Linked DNA regions of Astyanax mexicanus. The protein of the gene in region 2 interacts with the protein of the main gene of each other region in a pairwise test. Links are inferred from orthologs where the notes say so. Each region holds a gene or a part of one and is shown on either strand. Other genes may lie near its edges.

Region 1 (7,578 bases), on a different chromosome or scaffold from region 2:
AAATGGCAACTTTACATGAGATGAAAAAAAGAATGGAGGTCAGTTAAAAAGGTTGAATTTAGTAATTTTGGAGCATTACTATTTATCCATTAAAACATCAAATTCAAATTATGTCAAAATGTAAAAAATGGTAGATACGGTTTTGCCGGCCAGACTTTGTAACTGTAACAGAATATGCAATAATTCTAGACTTTATACACAAATAAATCACATGAGTGTAATATTATTAAAATTACAAAATCAATACCAGTTGGTACTTTTGGATTGGAATTGGATATGCTGGCAATGAAAATGAATTGAGAATAAAATTATTATTTTTAGAATTGAGTTAATCCCTGAGCAGTAGAGCAGTGTCTGTTGTAAGTAAGTAATAATAATTAGTATTTTATCACATACAAATCAAATTTTTTGGTGAATGAAAATGAAAACACTTTTTTCTATTACAATCACTTACAGCTTAATTTATTATTTGTAACAGTTTGCTGAACTAAATTAAAAAAATCTCATAGTTATTTTACTGTCATACAATTCAACTGTCTATTACATTTTGTTTTTCTTGGTCACTGCTTTTCTTCATGCTGTAAAACGTAAGTTATTAGTTATTAAATGAAGGAATAAAAGAGGTGCGCTTATATATAGGCCCTTGCATTTGAAAGGACAAATAATGCAAAATAACTACAATAATATAAATAATCAATACAAACAAAGGTTACAGCAGTCTGAATAAGTAAAAGTACTCATCTCACTCACTCATCTGATAGACTGAAATATTTCTTAACTTACTGCTGTAACCCTGAGAGATCAGGGTGAGAGTGAAAGCAAGGAGCACAGTGATCCTCATCCTCTTCATCACAGACACAGATGCTGACTGGAAAGCACCCAGTAAGAGGTCTTCACCCAGTCTTTATACCAGCCTGAATTGCCCTTCACACCTTACAGGCTCCTCCTATATGTTTTACCATCCAATCACAAGTGCAGCTCTGAAAGTTCAGCAGTCCATGTGGAGCAGATGGAACTCTACAGTAGCTCCAACATATGCTTATGTGTAACCAAGAAAAAACCTGATTAAAGGTAAATCTATTGTGATAGACTTTCATTTCTTTTTTCTATATAAGTCTCATCTCAGCTTCACTTCCTCCCAGTCTGTCAGTTTCACACGGTTAACTTGCTGTAAATATTATTCTCTATAGGCAAGTGCACGAGATTTAAACATGCACTTTTAGACTCTTTCAGAAGCCACCTGGTGCTCTTCCCACTGAGACAGGAACAGCGTCATACAGGATGAGAGAGAGAGAGAGACCTGTGCAGATTAACCTCAACAGATTTCCATTACAGACAAACCAGAGAAGATTATACTATATGGAAGATCTATTATCGTATTTATTGTTGGTAGCACTCACTAAGACTACCTTTTATAAATGGTTTATATAAATAGTTTATTAAAGTTATAATTTAGGTTAAATTACCCTAAATTACTTACACTCACAAATGGCAAGGGTAATAATGTAATAATATAAATAATATAGAATGTCAATTTAGTCAATTATTGTGTGAATGTACTTACATTTCTTAAACTGCAACCTTTCAACGGAAACAATAAGGAAGGAAAGTTCCGTGGTGTTTTACCATTTACTTACAGTTTATTAGTTTTATGTGTAGCACTTTTCTACTCTTGTAACAACACCATAAAGTGATCATTTCAACATGAACTTTAACTCTTCTTTAAACATATAACCCTGTTATGATATTATACACTAGCAGTTAAATATTGTGGCTCTTATAATGGCAGTATTACATTTAGATGCATAATTATTATTGTTGCACTGCAAAAATGCCGCCATGTTACTTAACCAGCAGACAATTTTTTGGGCACCTTGAAATACAGTCACAATAAATCAACTGACGAGCACAAACAGATTGCAAAATGAAAAAGTGGAAGTACAATTTCTAAATTCTCAATGCTTTGTTTTAAATGTCAGGGTCCTCAGAATTCTACTAATAAAGTGTGGAGCCACTTTGAGCTTGTTACTGGTGTACTGGTGTACTGATGTAAAAATAGAGATTTCTTTGCATGAGCAACACTATGCCCCTATCACTAGCATTGTAAGCATGTTAGAAGCCTTGGCTAAAAGCACTGTATTTCAGAATAAAATGTTGTACTCGTTATCATGTTTCACTACACCTCAAGTCTGTTTCACACTGAGGTTTTCCTTTCATGTAGAAGTGTCCCACCAGTGGACTATTTTATTATAGCAATATGTGCCCATCAGTGTTGGGCACCTTACTTTGAAAAAGTAATTAGTTATAGTTACTCGTTACTTCTCCAAAAAAGTAACTGAGTTATTAACGGAGCTACTCCACTATAAAAGTAATTAGTTACCAGTAAAAGTAACTATCGCGTTACTTTTTATTATTCACCCGTCAAAAAGAAAGGGAAATCAATTATGCAATTACTATTATTATTAGAAAAATAACAAACGAAAATGAACCCAAAATGTTGACAAAAATATAATCTAACGAATTAAAAAAAAAATAAAACGAAATTCTCCACACAACCAAAGAAAATTACTAAAACTTGTAATACTGAAAAAAGCGGAAAAAACGGAAAAACGCGTCTGGGGATGAAATTAAACAAACCAAGCCACACTCAAAGGAAATATGTATATATATACAAAACAAAATAATGGACAATAACAACAATCTAATGACCGCTAAAATGGTATTAATATAACAGCTTCACCAAAAGAGAATAGTGCTTAGATCGGGCCCAAAAAATCCGACCCGACCCAGCCGGAGCCCGTGCACGTTCTGCCCGAGCCCGAACCATGAACTGTCATTATGAGCCCGACCCGATCCGACCCATAAACTGTCTGTTTTCGGGCTGATTGAATGAGCGAAACATAATCAGAATTATGTTCAATAACACTGTAACATAGAAGCATAGAACTACTATTTAATTAAAATGATTTTTAAGAACAGCTACAGTGCTGCAAGTTAAACGCGGAGGCGTTCACGTGCGCCCAGAGCTACGTGATCTCCGGTTTCTCTTTCATCTGCCTGGCGCTCATATTGTAATTCTATAATTCTGCAGTTTTTAGTGTTTTCTGTCGTATTTTTACACAAGAACTAACGGACCACGAGGTGCCGCGCGCTCGGCACAACACCGCCGCTGTACAACTCCGCTGTACAACAGCGCTTATAAATAAATTAAACACTAAAAATGAGGGTATTCTATCAGTAATTTCAGTTCGTTTTAGTTAGTTTTATAAACACAAAATACAGTTCGAGATAGTTATGTTTTTTCCTTTTAATTACCGTTTTTATTACATTCAGTTAACACAAATGTTTTTTTCACTTTAAGTTTTTTATATTTCGTTCGCTTTAGTGAACAATAATAATTGGTTACTTAGCAACATTGTGATTATCACACCAGAGCTTTATATAAAATAAAAATAGGAGCCCGATTTCGGGTCGGTCCTCGGGTCAGGTCGGGTTCGGGCAGAGAATCTAAGCTCTAAAAGAGAAAGCAGCAGCACCACAAAAACCGGAGCAGCTAAAAAGAGTTTAACGTCCTTAATTCGAAACTTGGGCTGTCCACGGCAATCACTGAATTGATTAGAGCAGCAAATCGTCACAAATGTGCCTCACTTCACCACGCCAAACCACAGGCACAGCGGCCAGAAGCTCAAGTTCACCGGAAAGAGGAGGGGTTAACCAGGGCAAAGCGAAGTAAAAAAAAGTGTGGCTAAAGTAACGTGCAGTAACAGGGTGTCGGAAATGGTAACGGCGTTATAGTTACAGTCATAGTAATTAGTTAGATTACTCGTTACTGAAAAAAAGTTTTAACACCGTTACTCCCAACACTGGTGCCCATTTTATTTTTTGGCAGTAACCTTCCTAACAATCATCCTGAATCTGCTATACTGTTCACGGGTAAAGTAGTACTACAGTATTTTTCTCACCTTTACTGTGGACACAGAAATGGAAACATGCACGCTTTGCTCTAATATGTTTGGAAATGTAATGAGTTCAGTTCAATAAATACATTTTTCTAACGATTACAAGTCTAAAGTGTTGTACATGAACACTGTATTGTTTTGTTGTGCTGTCAGTTAGCATTTGCATGTTGTGCTCAGAAGCACATCTGTATAGAACCAATACAAATGGATAAAGCTTTATTCGTATAGTATTGTTCAGAAAATATGTTGATTTAATTTTTATTTAATTTAATTAATTGTAATTATAGAAAAACATAACACCTTACATAGCGTCAAAGGAAACAGAATATATTAGATAAATCAATTTAGATAAAAATGACAGATTGGAACCTTTTTATTTCAAAAATATTATGTGTATAATGTGTAATTAATGCCAAGACAGAAAATAATAAAATCGTACTTTATGTAAACGATAAAATGTGAAATATTTTATTTTTATAATATATTATTATTTTTGTACAGTTTCTAGTAGACTACAGCAGCAGATATGGGACACAGCCCTTTGGCGCTCCTCTGCTGTAGGTGGCGCTCTGAGTGTGTGTATGAGCACTGTAGAGTAAGTACCGTGTCCTTTCGGCTTGCCGTATTCAGCGTGCTTCAATGACACACCGGTAACAGAGATGGCTGTATCGACTTTATTCAGGTCTATCAGAAAAGAACTCACTAAGGTAGGGGTGATAATTAAGCTTCAGCACATGTACACTTAAACTGAGCGCACAGAAAGCAGTGTAAAGAAGGCTGGACAATACTAAAGGCGTGTTAATACTGTGTGCTCTGACGATTATCTAACATGTACCTGCCTCTCTACACTTTATTTATTCTCTTTAAGTTAAAGCTCAGTAATGAAATATCTCGCCGTGTTCCTCCCAGGTCTGCTTCCAGCAGCATGTTCAGTGTTTACACAGCGGTCCGGATAAAGCCCTGCTGCTAAAACTGCGCAAAGCCACCGGCTACACCTTCATCAACTGCAAGAAAGCGCTGGAGAAGTTCAACAACGACATCGCACAGGTACGCAGGTAGATTAATGCAGAAATTATGCGTTTTTTAATGTATACTGTAAATTAGATGTGTTTAATGTTCTGTTTGTCTGCAGGCTGAAAGCTGGCTGCATGAACAGGCTCAGAAGGAGGGATGGAGCAAAGCGAGCAAGCTGGAGGGCAGGAGAGCCAAGGAGGGGCTGATTGGTGTTCTGAAGAATGACAGTGCAGCAGTCATGGTGGAGGTCAGTATTCAATACAGCTTATTTAAAAGACAGCACTGAAGAAAGTTAGTCATGGCGTAAAGGAGAACTCCTGTGTACAATTGACTTTTGGTGTAGAAAAACATGATAAAGGGTACTAACCTTCGTTGAATAGCCCATCTCCACTCTCATGCAGCTTTCTGAGATTCAGTCATTTTGTGCACTTTGCCCAAACAGGCTTTTACAAAAAATGATACAGGGCATGCCTTGCGTATGATAAATCGCTTTTTACACCGTTATCCAGGCTCCACGCTTCATGGATAGAATCTGGAGAACCCTGAGATTTAAATCGAGGCATGTAGAACTTTAAAACTGCACTAGAAGTTTATTCAACACCGCTGTTCTCTGGGCACCACCATTTTAAATTTAAGTCACATTAAGTCAACTGCCGAGCACAAATACTAAAACATTTAGAGCAGTGTTTATGTAAATTGTTGTTGGTTCTATGCGTTCTAATATGACAGCAACCAGATATTTTCAGTAACAACTAGAATTCATGCATTTCCAAGGAATGAATTTTGCAATCTGCTCAACTATCCTACCAATATGCTCTAAATGCTTTTAAAGTTCTTAATACCTGATGTTCAATGTCAGGGCTCCCTGGATTCTATAAATAAACTGTGGAGCTACTTTGAGCCTGGATAATTGTGTAAAAAAGTGATTTATCTTTAGGGGCAAGTGGATGCCCCGAATCGTTCAATGTAAAGTGCTGGGCAAAAAGCACAAAATTACTAGATCTCAGAAAGATGCGGGAGACTGATGGTGGGCTATTTAACAAAGGTTAGTACTCTGCATCATGTTTTACTATATCAAAAGTCCATTTTAGACTGGAGTTCTCCTTTAAAGTGTGAGTATCTCAAGCAGTATCTTAAATATTCTCTCACTCACTTCGAGTGCTTGATGTGAAATGATATTAATACATTGCTATTTCCCCGCTCACACAGAGTTAAATTAATTTAGTGGAGGTGCACTCTCAGTGCCTTTTTAGTGCCTTGTTTTAAATGTCAGGGCCCTCAAATTTATACCAATGAAGTATGAAGCTACTTTGAGCTCATTAATGGTGTAAAAATAGTTATTTCTTTGTATGAGCAAAACTATGCCCCTAGTGAACTACATTTACCACCTCCTAAATCAGTGAACTCAGTACATAGAAACCAGGCACATATTTAATTTAATTTCAATCATATGTCTCATAAAGCTATTAACATCGAAGTTATGCATTTGTCTACCTAAATTCAGTTCAGAAACCATTTACACACAAAATAAACCTTCAAGGCAGAGTAACAGCCAGTCAATGTAAATTTTGTCTTATTTCATACATAAAAATCACCTGATTGTAATCAATAAAAGGAAAAATAACAAATGTGGTGTAGTTTTTGCATTTTTACACACTCTTGCTTAAACTAAGTGAAAGTTGGTGCATTGCATGTTGCCATGAAAACACTTTTTTTCCTCTCTATGGGTTTAGGTAAACTGTGAGACTGACTTTGTGGCAAGGAATGAAAAGTTTCAGCAGCTGGTGCAGGATGTTGCTTTGGCTACAATGGCTCATCATTGCAGCAAGGGACAAGGTGGATACAGAAAGGTATGTTCAGTCTGCTTAGCATCTGCATGTGTGAATGTTTATTATCATTCAATTTAACTTGCACATCTAAAAAGAGCATGTTAAACTTTTATTATTGTTACAGAGTCTGTTGTCTGCTGAAGACCTTGCTAAGCTCACTATGGTGGAGGGCCCCTCACTGGCAGATCAGCTGGCTCTGACCATAGGTAAGGAAAAGTGGGTCTTAGTGATGTTTATGTGCATTCTGCAGGGACTAAATGTCTAAATAACATACTGGAATAGATGCTGTTCTCTGCCTAAGGTGCTTTTTCTTGCCTTGTAATTTTTATAGTGTTCGTGTAAGTTACAAAAGACCTTGCCACCTCTGACTCCTGCTCTTTCTTCACTGCCCTGCTTAGTTCTGTTTCCCCCCCTCTTTCTTCACAGGCCGACTGGGTGAGAACATCTCCATAAGGCGAGCTGTGTCCATAGGTATACCTTCTGACTGGCACATTGGCTCATATGTGCATTCACCAGTTACAGGGCCCAGCAGTTTGATGATGGGGCGCTATGGCTCTCTGGTGGTGTTCCAGGGGGGGCCTGAGGGAGAGGTGGAGTTTCTGGGCAAGAAGCTGGGACAGCACATAGTAGGGGAGGCTCCTGATACTCTTGGCAACATGGAAGATCTACCCTGTGGGGAATCTGAGACACGGCTTTTACCACAGACCTTCCTGCTAGAGCCCAAATACACTGTAGGACAGTTCCTCACTCTGCATAACGCACGAGTGCTTGACTTC
Region 2 (8,007 bases):
CATCCATGTGTTGCCTCATTCTTTCAGCAGGATAATGCTCACTCACACACAGCAAGGGTTTCCCAGAAATGTCTTCAGAAGATTGCAATACTCTCTTGGCCTGTCCGGTCACCAGATACTAAATAAGTTTATAAAAGATCATTAGAAACATACGCTTTTTATAGTATTACATTGTATTTCTATTTTCTATCAGTGTTTGGACATGTCTCTGTGTCCTGAAGACACTGCAGACCTCTTTCTTAGGCTCTGACCTGTGAGGAACAGAAAACAACAAAGTTTGTTTATTTCTTCAACTCATTTGCACAATCTTATGCCAGGGTTTTATACAGACAGGGCTCTGCTTTTAAGACATTGGACCTCAAAAATCAATATATTTTCAGCTTTAACTTCAAAAGTGAAGAATCTCAGACTCTTAGCATAAACAAAAACACTGAGTCTCCACCACTCTTTGAGCACCTAGACAGGGAAAACATGAATACGGTGGCTTTAGGGCTCGGGGAATTTTTATCTTTATAACTTTATTTTTTTTATCAGCCCGGGCAAGACTAATAAGGGCAGTGTGGGGTGTATTGCACAAACAGGTCAGCAATCTACTGCAACTATTGCACACAAGAGTTATGAAGCAATACCAGTTTTATTATTATTCACTTTTTTACTGAAGCAATTTAGGATGAAACAAAATGAGGATTTCGTGATTGTACACACTGACATGCCAAAATAGTATAGAAACTAATATCATGTCCCGTGACTTTTGCCAAGATAAAGAACATTGCACTGACCTGCAAGATCTGATGTGAGGTCTCTTGCATTGAATGTGGAGTGATTTTGCTTGTCAGTTACTGTTTGTGTGGACAATTCTAGCCAGATGCAGCCAATCACGATCATTATTACCCACTGTTCTGTCACTGTGGATGATATTAATGCCTTCTGTGAAATATTCCAGATACACATACCTTGTGACACTGTGGATCGACACTGTGGAAATTGCCTTGCCATGAGCACCTTGGCCAATGTTCAACCTTTCTTACAAGATAACACCTCACAACTTACAGTATATCCCAAGCTGTCACCTAGGGTACTTCTTCATGATCAGTTTACATACTGACATCCCATGACTTCTGAACTGCCAGTGTAGCTTATAATAATGTAATGGAATATAAATATTATATATGTAATATAATATTGTACAGTTTTTGATTCATATATTACTGTGATATAGAACTGTGGTATTTCCAGTCATATAAATGGTGTTGTGATAGCTTTCGTCAGATATGAACAATATATCTGATGTAAATATATATCTAAAATGTGGACATGTTAATTTTCCTCATAAATTAAAAGCCTTTTTTTTAAACCGAATAACTATTATATTAAAATAAAATGTTGAAAATGTACTTTTAATATAACTTATGGATATGACTGGTTCAAGGTGATTTTTGTATTTTATATATTTTTATTAATTATATTTGTGTAGATTATTTGACAAGCCATAACCTGGTAAGCATGCATTTCTGGGTCATCTCTTTTGCCACTTAAATAGATTATAAAACAAAGAGCACTGAATAAAAAATTATACTTTTAGCATTATTTAGTCTAAAGTCTAAATTCATAAAATGTGAAAAAAATCAGCCTATTTTCTAAAGTTTTTTTTTCTCATAAACTAATCACCTGCACTTATGCACAAAATCTACTGATCACTACTGATCTACTAACCCCATTTCCTTCTGATAGTAGATCAGTTTTTCACATGAAATTTGTGTTCTGCAAGAGATTTAACCCATTAAATATAATTTTAGAATAATGTAATATAATTTGTTCATAAGAAAGCAAGCCAAATCATTTCCGATGCTATTCCTTTACTAAATAAATAAATAAAACAGCGGCCTGCATGTTTGTTCTCTCTCTAAAATGAAAGGCCTAAATGAGAGCGTGCGTCAGTAAGCATTATAAAGGTGATCATTATCTGATATTGGTTTCTGACTCGCGTTGAATTAAAATAATCAGCTTGAACTGATTTATTTGATGATGACCCATCATAACACATGGTGAAGTCATAGTCGTATCTTATCTTAAGGAGGCTCATTAAGAGCTCTGAGATACGCCTGGGGCTGAATCATCACTGTGATTGTGCAGAAATGAAAGAACAGCATGGGAACACAATGCTCTCTGTAAATACACGTTATCTTCTGTTTATGAAGCGATATCTATGAATGGAATCTAGGCCGAGGAGCCTTTTTTCTGTACCTGGGTCTGTAACAAAGCATCTTAGAGTACTAGTACTACAAACCCAGTTACAAAAAAGTTGGGATGTTGTGTAAGGTGTAAATAAATGTAAAAAGAATCTGCAAAATGCAATGATTTTGCATATTTAATAGAATGTTATTTACAATAGAACATTACATACACATTTTACAGGTGCATCTTACAGCACTTCATCCAGATTTCATTTTCCAGCAGGACTTGGCACACTGCCCACATTGCTAAAAGTACCAATTGGTCTTATAATTATAATATTCTAATTTTTTGGGACACTGATGTTTGGGTTTTTATGGGCTGTAAGCCATAATCATCAACAATAAAATACATCAATATAATATATGAGTTTCACATTCACAAACTTAATTACTGAAATAAAGTAATGTTTCAATGATATTCAAAATTCTGAGATGCACGTCGATATTGAAAGAGACACATTTTGCCAATTTAATAAAATCATAAACTCTTTTTGAACTTATGAACCAAAAAAATTGGGATGGAGCAACATAAAGGCAAAGAGGAAACCAAATGATAAGATAATGCAGAAACTCTGCCATCTTCTCTAGGTCAAAGTCCTTTTTAAATATGTACAATTTTGGTTAATCTGCCCATTTTAAATATGCTTTGGCATACTGGCAGAGAAGATGGCACTGTTTATGGATCAAGGTGACCCATGACTTCTTCTTTTTAATGATGCAGCTTTAATTGCATTACTAGATTGCATGGTGAACTGTGTTCACAGACAGACAGTAATTACTGGAAGTGTACCTGAGCCCATGTAGTGATTTCCAGGAAAGACTCAGTACAGGGGCGGGGGGTTTAATGCAATGCCAGCTGAGGGCCTGAAGATCACCAGCATCCAATACTGACTCTTGGCCTGCTGTACCTTGCTCTCTGTGATTTAAAAGTGCCATATACTTTTCAAGCATTTTGGAGCATTTTCCCAACTTTTTGGAGATCTTAGTGTTTTCCATTCAGCTCTACATGGTCTAATGTTGTTCATGAAATGGTAGAATGTGTCAGTTTTAACACTGATATGTGTTCTATGTTCTACATTTAACAGTGTCCCAAGATTTGTGGAACTGGGGTTGTAATACTGACTCTAATCATTTTGGGTTAGATCTATTCTGCAGTTTGTTTGAGTTTTTACCTCACTATCAAGGTTCTCGTATTATCTGATACGGCCGGTGTGGCTGCAGGTCATCATTATATGAGGTGTGTGTGTGTGAGGTCTTCTGCTGCTTGTCTGGAATGAAGATCTGCAGCCACATCAGCCTTTTGCAGATTGGATTGGTCACCCTTGGCTATATTCATTCAGCAGGCTGTAACAGGCCACATTTATGGCTCAGTGCTTCCATCTGCTGGCAGTAACAGAAGGAGGAGGGAGGCTGGAGATAGCACCTTATTTAAAATCTAAAATCTAGCCAGTGTGCCTGCAGGTTTTTATTACAGCCAAGCTTAAGCATATCATCAATTGATGTCATCAGCTGTTTGACGACTGATCAACTGATTAAACAGGTGGAATTAAATGTGCTGTTGATTGTTTAGAATGAAAATCTTTTTTTACATGCCTCATTATCTCAAAGAGTGGTGCTGCAATTGATTCTACAGTAGAGTTTGCCTCCTCCATTTCTCTGCTGGAGAAAACACTGAAATAGGACTTAAAACAATGCTATTTTCGTCCAAATAAGTTTGGTAACCAGTAATTTTCTGCATTGTAAAAAATGTAAAGATATTTTTAACACCTAGGAAACTTTTCCTATGTAAGCACCTATGTAGATATACATTAGGTCAGCTATTCTCAACTGGTAGGTCACAGACACGTTCTTGGCGGGTCATGGACAGCTTGTAAAACATATATATAAAATGAAATATCACTTTTCCAAAAAATAAATAAGGCCACAAAATATTTTACTCCTCTGCTTATATATATATATATATATATATATATATATATATATATATATATATATATATATATATATATATATATATATATATATATATATATATAAGCAGAGGAGTAAAATATTTTGTGGCCTTATTTATTTTTTGGAAAAGTGATATTTCATTTTATTGTAATAACATTTTTCATGCATATGTATGTTTAAATGGGTTGAGAACCCCTCAATTTGGATAACCAACACTACGTAGATAACACGCCCATGTGTGGCCCGTATGGGTTACCCAACAGGAAACCAGATAGTGAAGGACCCCATTAGGGTCAGTAATGGGACCAGAAGACAATAAATATGGGCCCCATGTGGGCTATACACTGCACATGTGGCCTATACACTGCACAGTAGTAAAAAAAAAAACGCTTATAGCCCATGTTTCACCCATGTGAGCCACACATGTGCATGCTGGCTGGGCAAACTGTCCCATCAGTCCAACTGTTCAGTATGATTTCAGTATTTAGTGACTACAGAAGCGAGCTGAGCACACATTGTGATGTGTACCAAAGTACACAGAAACATCATCCACGTCTACAGCACAGTTGATCCTGAGAAGGTGCTGCAGAGGCAGAATTACCACAATAAATTTTTTTTTTTTAATGTTAGGAAATGTTTGTAATCATTTTAAGCAGGACTGATATGTTTCAATACTTTAAAGGAACACATTTCAGTTATTAATGAAATGAAAATATGGTTTAGGGTTTAGTGGCTCTTTAACTAATTAGTCAGATTTTATAGTGTAGTGCGTGTTTGGCTCTAGCTGCAGAAACTGACTACATCTCCCAGAAGTCTGAGCGTGTCCACCTTTTACGCAGACTGACGTTCCTGTCGGGCACGTAAACAAGTCAACGGGAAGCAGCGCTGTGGAGCCACCCGAGCAGGTTAGTTTAAATTAAAGCTGTATTTATCGTGTTTTATGTGCTGATTTTAGCTGAAGCTGGTATTTAATGTGTTTATTTATTAGAGCGCTGAACTGTCGAGCCCGCGGCCGGTTAGCTGGGAGCTTCTGCCCCGCTGTAAAAGCCTAATCCGCGCTGCTCAGGCTAACAGTGCTAGCGCTGCTGCAGCTTTACTGCTAACCGGATAGATAGCCTGTGTTAGTTAGGTGTGTTAGCTTCAGCTAGCTAAATAAGTAACGTTAAGTATTTAATTACTCTAAATGTGTGTTTAAAATAGAATACAGAGCTTAAAGTGAATCCTCCATAAGATTAAAATAAAGCCATACACTCCTATAGGAGTAATTAAAGGAATTAGCCAGTGTTAGCAGTGTTATCAGAGGAAACTAGTTACTTAGCTTATATAGTTAAAATGACTGTATATGTGACTGTCAGGAGCTTATACACAATTTACACAGTTTTGTACAGCTAAGTTAGATAACATATTTTTATACTGAGCTAGTTATTTTTTATTTCTGTTATCCTACAGCAGGGGTGTCCAAACTTTTTTTTGTTGGGGGCCAGAAGGAGAAATATATTTGAAGTCACGGGCCACACTGTTTAATAAAACAAATAATGAAATATACCTCTTTAAATAATAAATTTTCCTCATTATTTTCATTTACACACCATTTTACTTGACTAACTATCTTTATCTTTGACAGTGTTGTGTAAACTAAGATTTTTTCAAATTGATGTTTAATTTCATGATGTCTCTTAATATTAAACTCCTTAATTACAGCAACTTTTAGACTCTTTGGTCCGTTTTTCTGTGCTAGAAATGCGCACCCTCTCCGCTTTTAGAATCTGTACCCCGTTTTTCTGAGCTAGAAATGTGCACTCTCTCCACTTTTAGACTCTGGCCCGTTTTTCTGCGCTAGAAATGCGCACCCTCTCCACTTTTAGACTCTTTAGCGTTCAAACTTTGAATCTCACATTATAAAAACCTGCTTAACAGCGGGCCAACTTTCATTCTATTTCTAAAATACCTCGAGGGCCGCTCCAAAAAAGAAAACGGGCCGCACTTTGGACACCCCTGTCCTACAGTACTAGCCAAAACTTTGGACACACCTTCTCATTCAATGTTTTTTTCTTTTTTGTTTCTTTAATTTATTTCCTACATTATACGTTAATATTAAAGGCATGAAAACAGTGAAGGGGCACATAATAAAATTATTATCTGACATGGGTCATTGTCTGACACTTTAAATGCTTCCATACTGCTCACGTGTTTGCTGCATTTACATAGAACAGGTGACTTTGTGTTGGTTGCTTGATTTTTGACCAGATGATTTGACTTTTTTTTTATTCGATGTAACAAGTTAAATTATTTGGAAATTTCATTTATTCAACAGAACACATGAATGCATTTATTATAAATTTGTTCCCTAAAATGTGGTTGCCAAATGCGATGCTTGTTTCGGTGAAAAATGGGAAAATGAGCTGAAATCTTTTGTGCAATACAGACGGAAGACATATTTTTAAAGAAGGTGTAACTTTGTCCTCACCATTTACATGTAAGGGCCTAGTTTACTTCTACACAATTTAGCACAGAGACAGTACAGGCATTATACAGTATAGAGTATAGGTCATCTCTGTCCAATGTAAAACAAGTATCTGCATTTTGGTGATTTTTATGTTATTACATAATTTGAACACATAAACTGTGCCAAATTTCTTAATAAATGAGCCAATAGAAATTTTCCAACATGACCTGAAATAAACTTAAACTTTACATTCACCTCCATTGGAATCTATCTTATGTAAAATTTCTGTTTTGGACAGAGTCGATATGTTATTTTCAGTGTTGAGTATATTAAATGATTACACTGATGTCTTTTGGGAAACACAAAAAGAGAATATGGGTAGAGAAAGGGTGACTAAGCCTTCTGAGGTCTGTCATGTGACAGAACATGAGGGTTTCCAAAACACACCATTTGTTGTGTCCAGTGAGGACACATCAGCTGCCACTGGGGTCAGAACTGGGTAGAACTTACTAGGGGTGGGCGATATGGCTCTAAATTAATATGACGTTATTTCAGGATATTTTTGCGATAACGATATATTTGGCAATATAGGAAAACAGAAAAATAATTCATTAATTTTAGGAATATAGTATAATAGTTTAAGAGTATATCGTAATGTGGCAAAATAAATAATATAGCATAAAATAATATAATGCAGCAAAAAATATTGCAGAATATTTTCATGCATATAAACTGCAAACTAAAACTATAAACTAAAACAATTATACAATAAATACACTTAAAGCTTCACAGTAAATAATGGACTACTTTTAAGACAAACCATCCCTATTTTCACGATATGGACTTACAATATCATGATATTTCTGTGTCACGATATATTGTATACAATATAATATTGCCCACCCCTAGAACTTACACATTAAACAGATTATCTGACACATATTTGGTAATGTTGAGAGGTTTATTAGAAATGTCATAGTGAACTTTTAGTTTCAATAGGGTATTGGCATTTTTGGACATTCTTAAGTTCTTTAGGCTATTTTCATACATTTAATAACATTCAGTTGGCAGGTTTAGTAGAATATAAACTAATAGGTTCTTTTACTTTTTCTAACATTTATAACACCTTCAAAATCATGGTATAATATTCTATTTTTTTTCAGTTTGTGTTATTTTATAATGCATTTATATTTATATTATATTTTATTTCTGCAGCAGGAGTGGCATAAAGTTTTCCAAAAGCAGTGTGTAAGACTGGTGGAGGAGAACATCCCAAGGTGCATGAAAACTCTGAATAAAAACCAGGGTTATTCCACCAAATATTGATTTCTGAACTCTTAAAACTTTATGAATATGAACTTGTTTTCTTTGCAT
Region 3 (7,076 bases), on a different chromosome or scaffold from region 2:
CTGGATTCTCTCGTCTGTTACAACTCCTATAACAGTGTATGTCTATTTTCAAGTGTAACAAGTGTATTATAAATTAATACATAGACAAAAACCTGTAACAGTAAAAAGTAAAGGTAAATCTGATTTCTATTGTTGATGGTATATAACAGTGGGTATAAAAGTGTGATTAAGTTGGAAACCTGGAATACCTGCTACTTTATTTAATCAACTCTTACCATAAAGATATTATTCTGGACCACCCACAAAAACATGGAGTTAAATGTTAACATATTTGTTTGTGTCTAAGCTTTCAGGCATTATTCAACATCCTTCTATCAGCCAGATATAAACTATTTTATTTGGGCCCATGTTTGGCCACAAACGGACTTTGCTTGTTTATACAATACACTGTAGATGTCTAAGCTCGCTGTGAGATCTGTGTGATATGTCTAGCATAGCTGGAATTATCATAAGTGTGGTTAACCAGCTGTAACAGTATTGAGATATTATCAGCACTGCAAAGCTATCAAGCCTGCCAGAAAGCTTACTCTGAGCTAAAGCCTCATGCGAAGGTTTAGGCAACCTTGGTGAAACGGGTTTGTTTATTTTCTGCAAGCAAGTTATCATATTCTCTATAGAAAGAAATTCATATCTATTTAAATTGTATATAGGCAAATGTAAGTGCAAAATTACTTTGATTTTGCTGAATGTAACAAAGTGTGCCATTAGAAACATTTATTATTTGGGTTATTTACAACATTTGTGTTATCTGCAGCAGTAACACTTTCTAGCAACATTAACTAACAGTTAGTTAATGTGGTTGGTGTTGCAGGGTGGGTAACAAAAATGCTTTAATTTCAATAACTATGATTTGATTCCATGGCCATGAAAACACACCACATTACACCAACAACTAGCAATTTCCCAGACAGGGATTAAGACTAGTTTTAGACTACACAGCATTTAAAATGGTATTTTGTATTAAAAGAAAAATACAGTCTAAGACCAGGCTTAACTGCTGTTCTGGAAAAAGAGGAGTCCTTGGGCACATTAGTCAAGAGCATTAACTAAATATCATACTTCAGTCTAAGGGATGAAAGGTTAAAACATTAAAAATATCATATTAACACATTGTTCAACTTTCTCTAATGTAGTCAATGAATAGGGAGAGATTTGCTGCATTTTGACCCTGAATTCTGTCACAAAATAGATTTGCACTGCGTTTTGCTACCCCGCATTAATCCGACAGCTCCTGTAGCTACTTTAAACACCTTAAATATACACACTTCAGATCCCAAACACGTCTTTAGTCGATAGACTAGTGATCCTGGGCTCCTGTGTCAGTCAATCAGCTAGCTTAGATTTTTTTGGGGAGCCAGTCTTGTCATTACATCTAGCCAGCAAGTCAGTCCCTTTTAAAGCTAATGCTATACTGGCATTCCTCAAAACTGACACAACATTTAAATCAACCTATTAACCCCTTAACATGCCTTGACGAGTATACAGGCTACAGATGTAGGTGATAAAAACCTTTTTTTCTGCAGTAAAATAACTTATTTACATTCTGAAAATTTGAGAGATTTAAAAATATCCTATGGGACATTTGGAAAAGCTGCTTATTTTCTCTCTACTTAAGAATTACAGATCATTAACAGGAATCGAACTAAATTCTGCATGTTTGAAAATAGACGTAAATACTACACAAAAATAACGAAACTGAAGGTTTGGAGGACATAAACTGTTTAATTTGTATTCAGGAAAATATTATTTTAATATGAAGTTCAGTACAGAGACAATTTTATAATTGTATACATTATAGTTTGACATTAGCAGATTTACTTAAATATGTTTTTATACTTTCTATTACAATAACAATTTTGCCTTTCAGTAATGTTCTTTATCGATCATGAAAGCTTTTTATGTAATGATTGAATAGAAATCCTCAAGATTTAGGGGTGTAACTTAATGTCACGCAGAAAACTGACAAAAATCCTGGCCTGTTAAGGGGTTAAAACATCGAAAAGCAAGGTTTTACAGTTAGTTAGCAGTATACTTAAGCCAATGTCCTTTAAAAAAAATACAGCCTACACTTTTTAGCTAGTGTTCATTAAGTTAGCTAGTAAGCTAGCTAGTGTTTTCCCTGCTCTCAGCACACACCTAACCCAACTTGATCTAGCTAATCAACTGATTCACAGCCTGTCAGTAGGGGTTATTATTAAGGTGGGTGTGTTAGGTTAGCTAGCAAGTGTTCATATGAGGAAAAGCACTAATGTTGTGAGGGCAGTGGGCCTCCAGGAGCAGGAGCAGGGCTGAGAGACACTGCTAGCTCTTAAGCTGTGTGTGTGTGTATGAGACAGTGAGTCTGCGGAACTTGCACCTGCAGCACCACGTCGTTGGAGAGCTGGGCCGCCCGGAAAAGGTCGAGCACTTTCCCGTTGGAGGCCACTTTCTTGGTGTTGTCCACATCGCAGTAGATGAACAGATCCGAGTAGTATTTCTGCTCCACATCGGTCAGGGTCAGACTCTCCATGGTGGCATACAGCTGAACTACAGGAGACCGACAGAGAGAGAGCGGAGCGGTGTCCCAGAACTCAGCCTAGCGGAACCAGACCCGGACCAAAACACACCACTGAAGACGAGTTCTACTCCCCCGGCTACTCAGCTCACTCCAGACCCGCCCGGGTGAAATGTACGGACCGCAGAGCCGCGCTGTTCCTGCCTCTCTGTCCCCGTTAGTCTCCGCTGCGCTGCCGAGGCTGCCCGTTAGCTCATTAGCAGCGACAGGCTAACGGCAGGCTAACAGCTAATCAAACTCCTGGATCCGCGGACGGGCTCGGTCCTATTACTATCAGCCTCCCGCCGCCGCTCAGCGGTTCGCACTCCGCTCTTCTCACCGGGGAGCTCGTTTTCTAGCGGCGGAGCGAGCGGCCTGCGCAGGCGTCGGCTCTGGAGAGAAATGCGCGGATCTGTTTGTTAGTAAAGTTTCGAGCTCCTTCCCTCAGCAGCGCCGCCATTCCTGAGCCCCCCGACGTCACCGCGCAGTCATCAGCAGGACGAAGGACCCGGATGACGGGCCAACGGTAAAGGGCTGTGTCTCAAATCGACACATTGCTCGCATTATAGCAGTTAGTGAGTTGTGAAATGGTACACCGCCGTTAGAAGTGCATTTATTATGGTATCTGATCTGTGAACTGATTTTTCACAGTGTATTGTTTATCTTTTAGGTATTTTTACTCTAGCTTTTTATGTAATAATTCACTTTGTGTTATTCTAACAAAAAAAAATCCGTTTAGGATAAAGAAAGTTATATCTTAATAATCTTAATTTTAATTTAAAATTTCAAGCCTGAAATGAAATATATATATATATATATTTGTTTAAATCTAATCTTGTTATTCTGCCTTCAAGTTCTCTTCAGAGCTTAAACGTGTGAGGTGATTTTCCCAGCCAGCATGGTCGATTCGGGCACTTGGCATTCACTTGAGTAGTTTCTCAATACCAAGGACGCAAAACAAACAAAAAAATCACATGACATAACAGAATAAAACAGCTGTTTGTATCAAATAAAATAAGATTTGACAACTAGAGTACTATATTTCTTTCCTCCCCTGCTAAAAAACCCAGCTCAAGACCAGCTTCATCCAGAAAAAATGCTGGTTAAAGAGCTACACTACCAGCATTGGATATGTTTTTAAGAACTTTAATCAGAACTTTAAGAACTTTAATCAGACTTGGTAAACGTGTTCTTATGTACTGAACTGCAGTTTGTGCTCAGGTGTGGACTCGGCACAGTGCATTTGGGTTGAGTCCAGGCTGAGCTTGGTTACGGGTATAGCTTGACTTTGGTTAAAACTATGAATGCTCTGGAAATAACGTTTTTGTCATCAAAAGATATCATTTGTATCCTGTACTTATCTGTTTTTATGTATAGATGAGACCAAGCCATTAAAGAGATTTGACTAGTGTTCATGAGTAGCTTCTAAAAATCTAACATACCACCAGATAGTAATAATTCTTTGACTGATAGTTAATCATTTACCAAAGTTTAATGTTAAATGTTAAAACAAATTATGCTTGTATTTATTATTTTCATGGACAATAATTATTGTTTTACTTTGTTCAATTTTGGTTGGCAACAAAATGGTTAAGCCTTTGAACCGCCAAAAGGAAAAATGTCCAATGAGGATTCTTTTCCTCAGTGAAGTTTACATAGATACAGCCAAGTGAGCGCTCCCATTGGCTGGAATTTAACCAGCAAACCGAAGGCCAAATGTGTCAGACAGACCAATTACAAATTAGGTAGAGACAGTAGTTAACCAGTTCTACATTATAGTGTAGTAAAAACAGTTTCAGGTCTTTTTAACTTTCAAAATAGATATGCCTAACCCACAAGACAAGCAGTAGTGTAGCCACGATTTAGTCAGCTGTTAAAAAATCATATTAAACGGCATGATTTTAGACTGTGATTATTGCACAAACTGAATGCGTTGGTATTAGTTATTATTGCATTTTAAAAATGTGACACATTCTTAAATTAACCACTATGTCTATAGCCCTATATATAGGCTCACCGACTGATTTCAAGATTGAAGACACCTGTTATTTTCCGCAGAGCCATCATTTCTGTCCAGGCCTGTTTAATGAGTTTAATTTAGTTGAAGCATGGTTGAAAAGCAATGTGTGACTTCCATTAGTTCATTTCTATAGATTTTTAATTATTACTTTTGTCAGATTCAAGTTATTTCTGCGACCATTGTGTTTTTTTCTTTCATTACCAAGGGGGTACCAACAATTTTGTCCACGTGACAAAATGCTACCAGACTGCAATATTGGGCAAGGTCCACTAGATGGCTTCACAAAACACGGAAAATGTTCAGCACTGGTCAAAAGTTTGGACACATCTCCTCATTCAAAGTTTTTATTTTCTTACAATGTAAATGAACACTGACAATAAAGAAACACAAAAGGAATCAAGGTGTAAACCGTTAACAGTGTTAAACAAACCGAAATACTCAAAATACATTTAGGTGGGCTTTTATCTGATGTGCTGTTAACTTGCTGTTTCTGAGGCTGGAAACTAATGAACTGATCTTTGATCATCTTTGTGATTGCACTTGTGGATACTTTCAAAGTTTTGGATTTTTTTTTGGATGGACCGACCTTCATTTTTTCTTCGTATTCTTTATTTTACTTAGGTGAGTAGTTCTGGCAATAATATGAATAAGGACATTACTCAAATAGAGCTTATTTACTGTATATTAACTCTACCTCTTCACAACTTTAAAACTGATGCTCTCAGACACATTAAGAGGACAAGAAATTAAAGTATTTATCTTGCTACTTTGAAGAACCTAATATATAATCTATATTCTGGTGTGTTTAACACTTTTGGTTTACTTAATAATTCCATATGGATTTTTTTCATAGTTTGGTTGACTTCTTAACTATAATGCAGAATTAAAATTTAATAATAATAAAAAAAAACTGAATTAAAGTTGTGTCCAAAATTTTGACTGGCACTGCGGGTTTTTAATATATATATTTTAATATTTGAAAGACTAGTATATGCAAATAACGTAGCTACTAAAAATAGACGTGTTATCAAAGAAATAAGAGTTATCCTTAATAAACCTGTGAATCTCCAGAAGAGGGCGCTGCTGCCCATGGGTTCACTTTAATTGGCGACTGAAACGCTGACGCTGAAACTCGACTAAATGAATATCAGTGTTTCATCCATAACATAATTACATACGACAGAATTTTCACACTGTATGAAACTGAACTAGGGTTCAGTAAGTATCTTAAATGTTCAGAGTGTTTTAAATAATCGAATAAAATCGTCTGTAATCTATTATTTAAATAGATTATTTGGTATCATAAAATAGGCTCCACAGCAACATTCCTTATGGGAATAAACACCTGCAGTGCTGAATTAATATTCTTACAGAATTTAATTAATATGTATACAGTATTCTTTTAAATCCAGCTGTGCAATAAATTCAGGACAACAAGAGTTGCACGTTGCACGTCACTATATGCTTTATTGTACACAGTCTATAATGCATATGCTCATACATTTATATTTCTCATGAACACCACTGTTTTGCTTTAGCAGTAATCTAACCTATTATGTATATGTAAATATATATAGGCACAAATGAAGTGTATTTGGTGCTGAAAATGTTGATTAACTAAATATATTTGAGTTAAATATTAAAATAATGATAATCTACAATTGTTTTAGATTAGAAATATGTATTTTTTTTTTTCAAATCTGGCACAAATAGTGTATTGTATTGTATCTGTGTGTCAAAATGTATATCACAAAGTATCTTATATTTTTACATTTGATTATTGAGGGGGATGCATCCCATCTGCCTCCCAGTTTCTTGGCTCCTGCCTGTTCTTTAGCAGAAACAACAAAGAGGTCTATTCTGGTTCCCCAGATTTAAATTCTTTGAACTGTCATTGTTTCTTCTGAAATCAATGGTATTTAAAAGGAGCTTTTTACGTTTATCCTGCTTTCTCTACTGTCCAGAGAAGGCTTTATACTAAATTTTGAAGCATTGCTGTAAGAATTTAATTAAATTCCAAGATGTTTCGTGTTAGTGAGGCCAGGCTGTTGGATGATCACCACCTCATCTCATCCCCAACTCCGTAACTCATCCCAAAAGTTCTGGATGAGTACTCTCATTCCACTCAAGCTCAATGCTGTAGGGCTTTATTCTCCTCCTATTCTGTTGGCAGTAATTCTCAACAGGGGCACTGGTCAGCATGCTCATGGCAAGGCATCGTGAAGTTTTAACAATGCTTGGTAAGTTCCAGACTAATGAGACATACTATTTCTAAATATGTGTGATCATTTAACATTTGTCAATCCACAGTCTACCATCACATGTGCACCAGGAGTGTGTCATAGAAGGCATTACCACCCACATTGGACAGTGCCGTTGTTGATGAATGTAACTGGTGGCGTCTGGCTAGAATTTTCGGTGTAAACAAGCAAATAACATTGACAGAATTTAACATCCACACTTAATATAGGAGACCCACACACATTTTTTAGCTTGCATGGTGCACGGCAAGAGCCATAGGAC
Region 4 (7,285 bases), on a different chromosome or scaffold from region 2:
AGTTAAAATAGCTTCTTAGTTTAGGAATGTATCTACACTGATGGGCGTAATGGTTTGGAAGTGAGGTGTGTTCAAGTAAATATCTAGCGGTGGAACACACAGGTGCTCCACTGACTGAATAAATTCACAACAGTCAACACTCAGCCGCCCAATTTTATGTTAGCCATCCAGGGGCACTGTGCTCGTTGTGTGTCTCCAGCACACATACAACCCCACTCGTTAAAAACACACACAGATGCGCTGCACCACCCAACTTTTAACTCAACAATAAACAAAATAAAGAATAAAATAACATCACGGTTCCCTTAAATGAGCTGCTGGCGTACTTTCACAGCATGAACACACAGATCAGTATCCTCTGCTGAGACACGCAAAAGTGCAGCGTTGTTAAGATATGAACGTGCCAAGGTCAGAGTGCAGCTGCCTCTTAAAGGGAATGAAGACTTCCCTACACTGATTAGTTTATTTCATGTTATGTCCAAAACACACCCATGATTAATTAAGAGAATTAGTTCATGCCTTTTTGCGCCCTCACAATACCAAAGACACACTGACACGCCCTAAATCCAGCTGCACAATCCGCAATTGACCGCTGCGCTATAGGTCACTAAAATAGGGCCCTAGATGTTTGATTGCTGTTTGTTTGAGCCACAGTCTTGCTGTACTTTTGTCTGCCAAGTTTGTTTATTAGACTTCTTATTAGTCCTTCGTTTGTTTTATAGTCTTTGTTTTTTAGTCTTAGTGTTTTTTCTTTTTTGTAATGGCAATCTATAGATCCACATTTTTCTAATCACCTGTATGTTTTATTGTAATTAAAGAAGCTGTATAATCTCTCTGCAGGGTCATCGGCAGCGTGTCTCAGTTTGACGAGTTTGGCCGAGTGTTCCACTGTCCGAAGGGCTCACCTATGCATCCTGCCAACAAATGCTCCGTCTGGTGACCTTGGTCATGCTTCTTTTTTCATTTGCTCTGCTCTGTTTGTCTGTCCTCAACATCGCTGCCACAACCAGGAGAAACACTGACGTTATCAAGCAGCTGCGGAACGAGCTCTGGTATCAGCGGACCCAATCGATTTCAGTTCCTTCTGCCTTTGGAGAGACTTAAAGAGAAAAACTAGTTCCACCAAACAGCAATTTAACAAATCTCACTCCATCTCCCATCAGCTTTTATACACTGCCCTCACCATTCTAATACTAATGCTGCGTTCCATCATACAGACACGACTCGGACTCTCGATTAACTGTCATAAACATAAAAATACTTCATGTTAAATCAGTTTGCTGCACCAGTCATCAGTGCTGATTCTTTCTCTAAACACACAAAATTTACCCAAACTACACAAGAAGAAGCTGCATTTGAACAACTTATAAAATGTGAAAAGAGAAAAAGAGAGTTTACAATCAGAGTTTATACAGTCATGAAAGTTTAAAAAAAGTCATGGAAATTTGGTCTACAAATCTTTGAGTTTATCGATGGAGAAAATCTATTTTGAGCTACAAATACATCAGCTCAGAGTTAATTCAGTAATTAAAGCCTACACAATGGAGCTCTCAGGATTTGACACACATTTTATTATTTAAAAAGTTGTGTCAGATTCATTTTATGCTTACTATAATCAATTTTGATTGTTTTAAAAATCGTATGGTCATGAAATTTTCCTTGAAGGCATGGAAAAGTCATGAAAAAATAATGGAAATGTATTTGTTTTAAAGTGTATGAACCCTGTATAATGTAATAACTTTACAACTATGTTGTTTAAATAGCAACATAGCTTGTACATTTATCTCCAATGGTCTATCTTGGCAATGGAAAACACCGTGTGAAAGTGCAGCTCAGTTTCCTCATTGAAAATATCCAGGTAGCGGCGCTGTTAAAATAGCAGTCCACCAAAGTCAGAGCTCTTAAGGGAATGGCAAGTGATGTGATGATTGCTTTATTTTACATTACACTCAAAATTAACCACACCCATGATTAATTGAGTGAATTAAAACATGCCTTTTTCACATTTCGAGCCATGCAAGGTGTTCTTTTTGTATTATTTAGAGTAGAGCTCTTGTATTGAAATGTGTATCGCTGTCGACAGTATCGGAATCGCATTGGAATTGAAAAAATAGAGAATTGGCCCATTGCTACTCTAAACTGCCCTTTGGTGGATGTATTGCAAATGTAAAGAATGCAAAACAAGTATCTGGAAAACATGTGAAGCAAGATCAAGATCAAAATCATTGGATCTGGCAGCAAACCTTTTTTTTTCAATTACAAAAGTACAAAAGTACAGTGGAGCGCAGATAAACATTCCCATTCCTCACTCCCCCCCATCTTCACTTATACAAAACAACCTGCCCAAAGATACAGTAACTGCTTTAGCCATGGGCCTTTATTTACCTACCCAAATCATTTTATTATATTATCTTATATCTTGCATACAATGTTGTTTAAGTTTGTTCAGTGCTGCTTTTTTTTGGGCTCATCATACTGCATATTTTAGCTCAAACTTTATTTTTTCTACATTTGAAAAAAAAAAGTAAATTTATTTATTTTTCTATTTTTATGCATAGCATTCCTAATTTATAATGCTCTTAGTAACGTCATGTTTGAGTTGCCTGGTCTGGAGGTAATGCAGACCCTGAACGAATAAGAGTATGTGTGCGTGTGTGTATGTATGAGTGTTGGGGGGACAAACTATAAAGTATGTTGCCAAATAACATAAATTAAAGACATTTAAAGACGTTTTCCAGTTTTTATGCCACTGGAAAATGCAATGCATTTAGCGCCCCCTTCTGGTTTGGTGAAGAACAGCAGCTGCCACTGTTGCCTGTGTGTCAGTTGTGTCTTGGCCTTTTTGGATTGTTCAAACTGTATTTGTGTGTGTTTTTAAGTGGGATTTGTGTCGAGATGTTGGAACGAATGAACAATTGTACGCATGATTTTTGAAGAAAGCCCCATGTAACTTGTACTATGGCCATATTATTTCAGGACAGCCCTACAATACTTCAGTTCATATGGCATTCACAACTTTCTAGTACTATTCTGAGAACATGACAGACAGTTTGAGAACGAATAGGTTGGAATGTCACGAACGGCGAACTCAGATTTTCCCTGAATAACATAAAGGCCTCAACTTTTATTACTCATCTCTGTGTGACGTGATTCGAAAGCTGATTTTTAATGCAAGATTTTTTTTCCTGACATTCTGTGTTAAAAAAAAAAAGCTAAAAAAAAAAAAAGTTACAGACAAACAGATATGTATATAATCACAGACTGCTGGAGGCCAGGTATTTAAGAAATTTACTATTATGATAAAAATGTTTAATTTTATATGAAGTGACTACATTAAAAAAGACAAGCTACTTTGTAAGGACAAGGTATATGAGAAAGAGGTCATTATAAATATATGCATAAATATATATATCTGTCTTATAAAGCATGTTTACCGCAAAGTGTCTGATACCATCACCAGAATTTACAGACTGAATTACATATTAACATCCACCGAGGTTTAGAATGGATGCTGGAAATGGTGAACTTTGTTAATTTTTCAATAAACAAATGAAGGTCATAAAAACCTGGTTCATGTGGGGTGTGATTCTTTGTGTGTTTTAGTTCAATGACCTTATAAGGTAATTAATGCCCCCCGATTTTAGCTGACTCCATCCTTAGATCAAGTTTGAAAATGTTTGTTAAAACAGATCACTTTGTGTGTAATATATGTTTATAATATATTAGTTTCACATTTTGAACTGAATTACAGAAATAACGTAACTTTTCAATGATATTCTAATATTTTTTTGAGTGGACTAGTATATGTACAGTAGTTAAACCATGTATGTTATTAAGGCTATTTTGTGTATGAGTGTCCCCTTTAAAAAATAATAAATAATAAAAAGTTTTACCTCAATTTAAAATGATCTAAGATGCTCTAATTAAAACATTAAAACCACTCATGTTTATTTATTTATTTATGTATTTATTTGTTTAACATTATAACAACATATATTATAGCATATATATTATAACATATATTTAGTATTATTTTATCTAAATCATTTAAAAATGATCTAAGTTGATCTAATTAAAACACTGAAACTACTCTTGTTTTTTATTATTATTTTTTAACATAACATTTTAACATATTTTATAGCATATATATTATAACATATATTTAATATTATATTATCTAAACCGAGTGTTTAGTGCTTAATATTATTAATACCTGGCTACTATAGGATAAATAAGAGTGCGTGTTTTAAAGTGAGGGCTTTTATTTTGAAAGGGGGACTTTTACGCTTGTGTTTTAGCTGGTTGAGCGGTTCGGTGTATGGCGGTAGGCGGTTGTTTGGTGTAGTAGTGTGTTGGTGAGTGTTTGGTGGTGTATAAAGTGTGAATAATGAGGAGGAGACTGAACCCGGGCTGCAGAAGTGAACGCTGAGCGCGGAGTGATGGACCCTGCGGCTAAACCTGCGGCTCCACACCGAGAGAAGGTAATAAAACCCGGGAAACGGATCCGGCGGTAGAGTTATCCTCCTGAACCGCCCACAACTACAGCTCCTCTCTCAGCGTTACTAACACTGACCTGCAGCCCCGCAACCAGACCCAAATTCACCTGTTTATACTGTATTACACCAGTTATATATTACCCCCAGTCCTCAGGTAAATATAACTGTTACACAGGCTGTTAATGAGTTAACTGGCCACGCTAGCGTTAACAGTTTTCTTCCACCAGGAACAAACTGACAGCTCAACTAAAGATGAGCTCCAACTAAATATATCAGCGTTATCTAATATTTAAACAGCTTTTAATTATATTTAGCTAAATATAGAAGCCCATTACAACCACCTAAAGTAACATTTCAAGATGCTACGTCGTTATTTTAAGATATTAAGTAGTTTTTTGGTGATATACGTCGTTATTTTGAGTTATTTGGGATATTAAGTCGTGATTTTAAGATACCAATTCGTTATTTGGAATAGTAAGTCATTATTTTGAGATGCTAAGTCGTTATTTAGGGATATTAAGTCGATATTTTGAGATGCTAAGTCATTATTTGTGATAAGTTGTTTTTGGGACATTAAAATGTTATTTTAAGATACTAAGTCGTTATTTAGGATGTTAAGTAGTTTTATGGGATGGTAAGAGGTTATTTTGAGATGCTAAGTCGTTATATTAAAATATTTTAACCTAGCTAATCTAAGTCGTCTATTTGAGGTAATATGTCTGCAACAAAATCTTCAAATAATGACTTAGTATCCCAGAATAAGTATGTCAAATATCTTAAATAACAAAAGTAGTGTAGCTCTATATTGGTTCAGATTTTCTAAAAAAAAAAAAACAAAATAGTAAAAACACATTGGTGTAGTGTAATATATCCAGTCTGTTCTGTATCTAAGGCTTTATTGTGTGACCCTTTGTGTGTTCTGTGTGTAGGAGGTGCTGCCTGCGCCCTCTAGAGGCAGGGCGATGTCTGACAGCGCGTCCCTGACCTCCTATGCTGAGTACCCTGCTGGCCGACCCTTCATCAACACACACTTACCTCGTAGACCTGTTAAAGCCTTTCCAGAGAGCAGCAGCGGAGGTAAAACATACACACTTAAATTATTTTATTTTAATGAGTGAAGTTAATGTAAGCAACACACACAAAGCCATTTTCGACCAAATATGCATGGCTGATTTCCAATATGTTGTCTAACTGTGAGTTTTCAGTGGTTCTCAAAAAAACCGACAGTGCACCTTATGCATGAGTTCTACCAGTCTGGTATTAAGGAGCAGTAGAGCCACTCTGCTGAAGAACAGAGTTATCAGGGTGAGTTTTCAGTGAAGTTTCTCCAGCACTAATGCTGGGTGCAGCAGCATTAGCATTAGTTGCTAACTAGAATGCTAGACTGAGGAACCTTAAGTGTTACGAAACCCAGAGTGCTTTCAGCTAGCGGTTTGTTCCACGTAGCTTGTTTTAACATGGCAAACACACAGACTACCGTCCAATATACTCACTTCTGAAGGGCAAAAGAGCTAGCACTGTGGTTAGTGGCTAATGCTAAAGCTGCTGCATCCAGCCTTAGTGCTGGAGAAAGTTCACTGAAAACTCACCCTTATAACGCTGTACTTCAGCGGAGTGGTTTTACCGCTCCTTAATACCTGTCTTCATACATAAGGGGCGCTGTTGATTTTTGGAAGATATTGTACCCTATATTACCTGTTAAAGTATATATAGCTATGCTTTTATTTAAATAATAACAAGTCTTAACATGATATTGGTAGCTGATAATGTGTGTAATATTGAATCGCTGGGCTTATTTGTGTGGAATGCTTCCTGCCTGCGCCACCTATGGGAGTTCTACAAGGAGGTTCTGCACTTTGCCTATGGGATCCAGCAGCTCCCAGTGGTGTATCCTGCGTTTATCCTGTGTTGGAATCCATACACTGATTATGTCTGGAAAACATTGCTCATTTTGATGTAGATATCCTTAGAAGTGTACTTAGTAGTGTTGCTCAATGCAAAAATATGGTACATAATTTTTTTTATGTTATTTACTTTATTCAATAAATAATACTTTACTCAATAAATTTACAATATATTGACCCAGAAATCTTTGGGATAAATTATACTATTTTTATTTTAAGATTGTTTTATGTTACTGATATAATGATAATACGATGGCATAATAATACATTTACATATAATTTTTTAAAAGCATCAAACTCATAATCATTAAGAATCTTCACACATTTAAAATTAAATTGTAATATAAAATGCTTAAATAGCATAAAATAAAACAAATAAAATAAAACACTGCTTTTTTCTGAAATTGATATACAAGCCTGTTCACATTAATGGGCTTTTTTTCCAAAAACTGTACACATTTGTTAAAATTGAAGTCAGCAAAAGTTATTGCGGTTATGTCCATATATTGTGCATCCCTATGAATAAGACATCCTCCTATAAAAGCTCCTCTAACCATGCTCTAATGATTTGCAGCTGATTATAATTAATAACTAATACTTTTTTTACTGTTTACTTCGTAATTGCAAAAAAAAACTTGTCCTTTGATTGTTTTCATGTCTTTAATATTAATCTACAATGTAGAAAATACATTAAATAAAGAAAATCACTGGCTTAGAAGATGTGTCCAAACTTTTGACTAGTACTGAAGGTCAAATATCTATATTTTCAAATGTGTTTCTGTGGGGTGTCCTTATTTATTCACACCTTTATGCAAAACTGGATACACCCAAGCCTTTAACATTCAGTGGACGTATGTGTACACTGGTGTGTTGTTGTATTCCCCA

Evidence for each region.
Region 1: the proteins of ralbp1 (region 2) and tsfm interact in binary tests that used the Homo sapiens proteins (3 or more experiments, as listed by UniProt). The two-hybrid records come from large-scale screens. The link is inferred for Astyanax mexicanus from reciprocal best matches to the Homo sapiens genes RALBP1 and TSFM.
Region 3: the proteins of ralbp1 (region 2) and reps1 interact in binary tests that used the Homo sapiens proteins (3 or more experiments, as listed by UniProt). The link is inferred for Astyanax mexicanus from reciprocal best matches to the Homo sapiens genes RALBP1 and REPS1.
Region 4: the proteins of ralbp1 (region 2) and cep57 interact in binary tests that used the Homo sapiens proteins (3 or more experiments, as listed by UniProt). The two-hybrid records come from large-scale screens. The link is inferred for Astyanax mexicanus from reciprocal best matches to the Homo sapiens genes RALBP1 and CEP57.

The regions. Positions count from the first base shown.
Region 1 is NC_064412.1:16,983,973-16,991,550, forward strand, and holds the start of tsfm (elongation factor Ts, mitochondrial), read left to right. Parts: upstream 1-4,559; 5' UTR 4,560-4,618; coding exon 4,619-4,666; intron 4,667-4,868; coding exon 4,869-5,006; intron 5,007-5,091; coding exon 5,092-5,220; intron 5,221-6,706; coding exon 6,707-6,823; intron 6,824-6,926; coding exon 6,927-7,008; intron 7,009-7,228; coding exon 7,229-7,578. Other genes in the region: endou (uridylate-specific endoribonuclease A), read right to left, coding at 784-850. UniProt on the Homo sapiens protein: Associates with the EF-Tu.GDP complex and induces the exchange of GDP to GTP. It remains bound to the aminoacyl-tRNA.EF-Tu.GTP complex up to the GTP hydrolysis stage on the ribosome.
Region 2 is NC_064411.1:46,520,208-46,528,214, forward strand, and holds the start of ralbp1 (ralA-binding protein 1), read left to right. Parts: upstream 1-5,005; 5' UTR 5,006-5,092; intron 5,093-7,848; exon of another isoform or gene 7,849-7,910; intron 7,911-8,007. UniProt on the Homo sapiens protein: Multifunctional protein that functions as a downstream effector of RALA and RALB. As a GTPase-activating protein/GAP can inactivate CDC42 and RAC1 by stimulating their GTPase activity.
Region 3 is NC_064408.1:82,930,591-82,937,666, forward strand, and holds the start of reps1 (ralBP1-associated Eps domain-containing protein 1), read right to left. Parts: upstream 3,018-7,076; 5' UTR 2,510-3,017; coding exon 2,357-2,509; intron 1-2,356. UniProt on the Homo sapiens protein: May coordinate the cellular actions of activated EGF receptors and Ral-GTPases.
Region 4 is NC_064425.1:11,086,985-11,094,269, forward strand, and holds the start of cep57 (centrosomal protein of 57 kDa), read left to right. Parts: upstream 1-4,280; 5' UTR 4,281-4,439; coding exon 4,440-4,481; intron 4,482-5,425; coding exon 5,426-5,573; intron 5,574-7,285. Other genes in the region: endothelin-converting enzyme-like 1, read left to right, coding at 841-940. UniProt on the Homo sapiens protein: Centrosomal protein which may be required for microtubule attachment to centrosomes. May act by forming ring-like structures around microtubules. Mediates nuclear translocation and mitogenic activity of the internalized growth factor FGF2, but that of FGF1.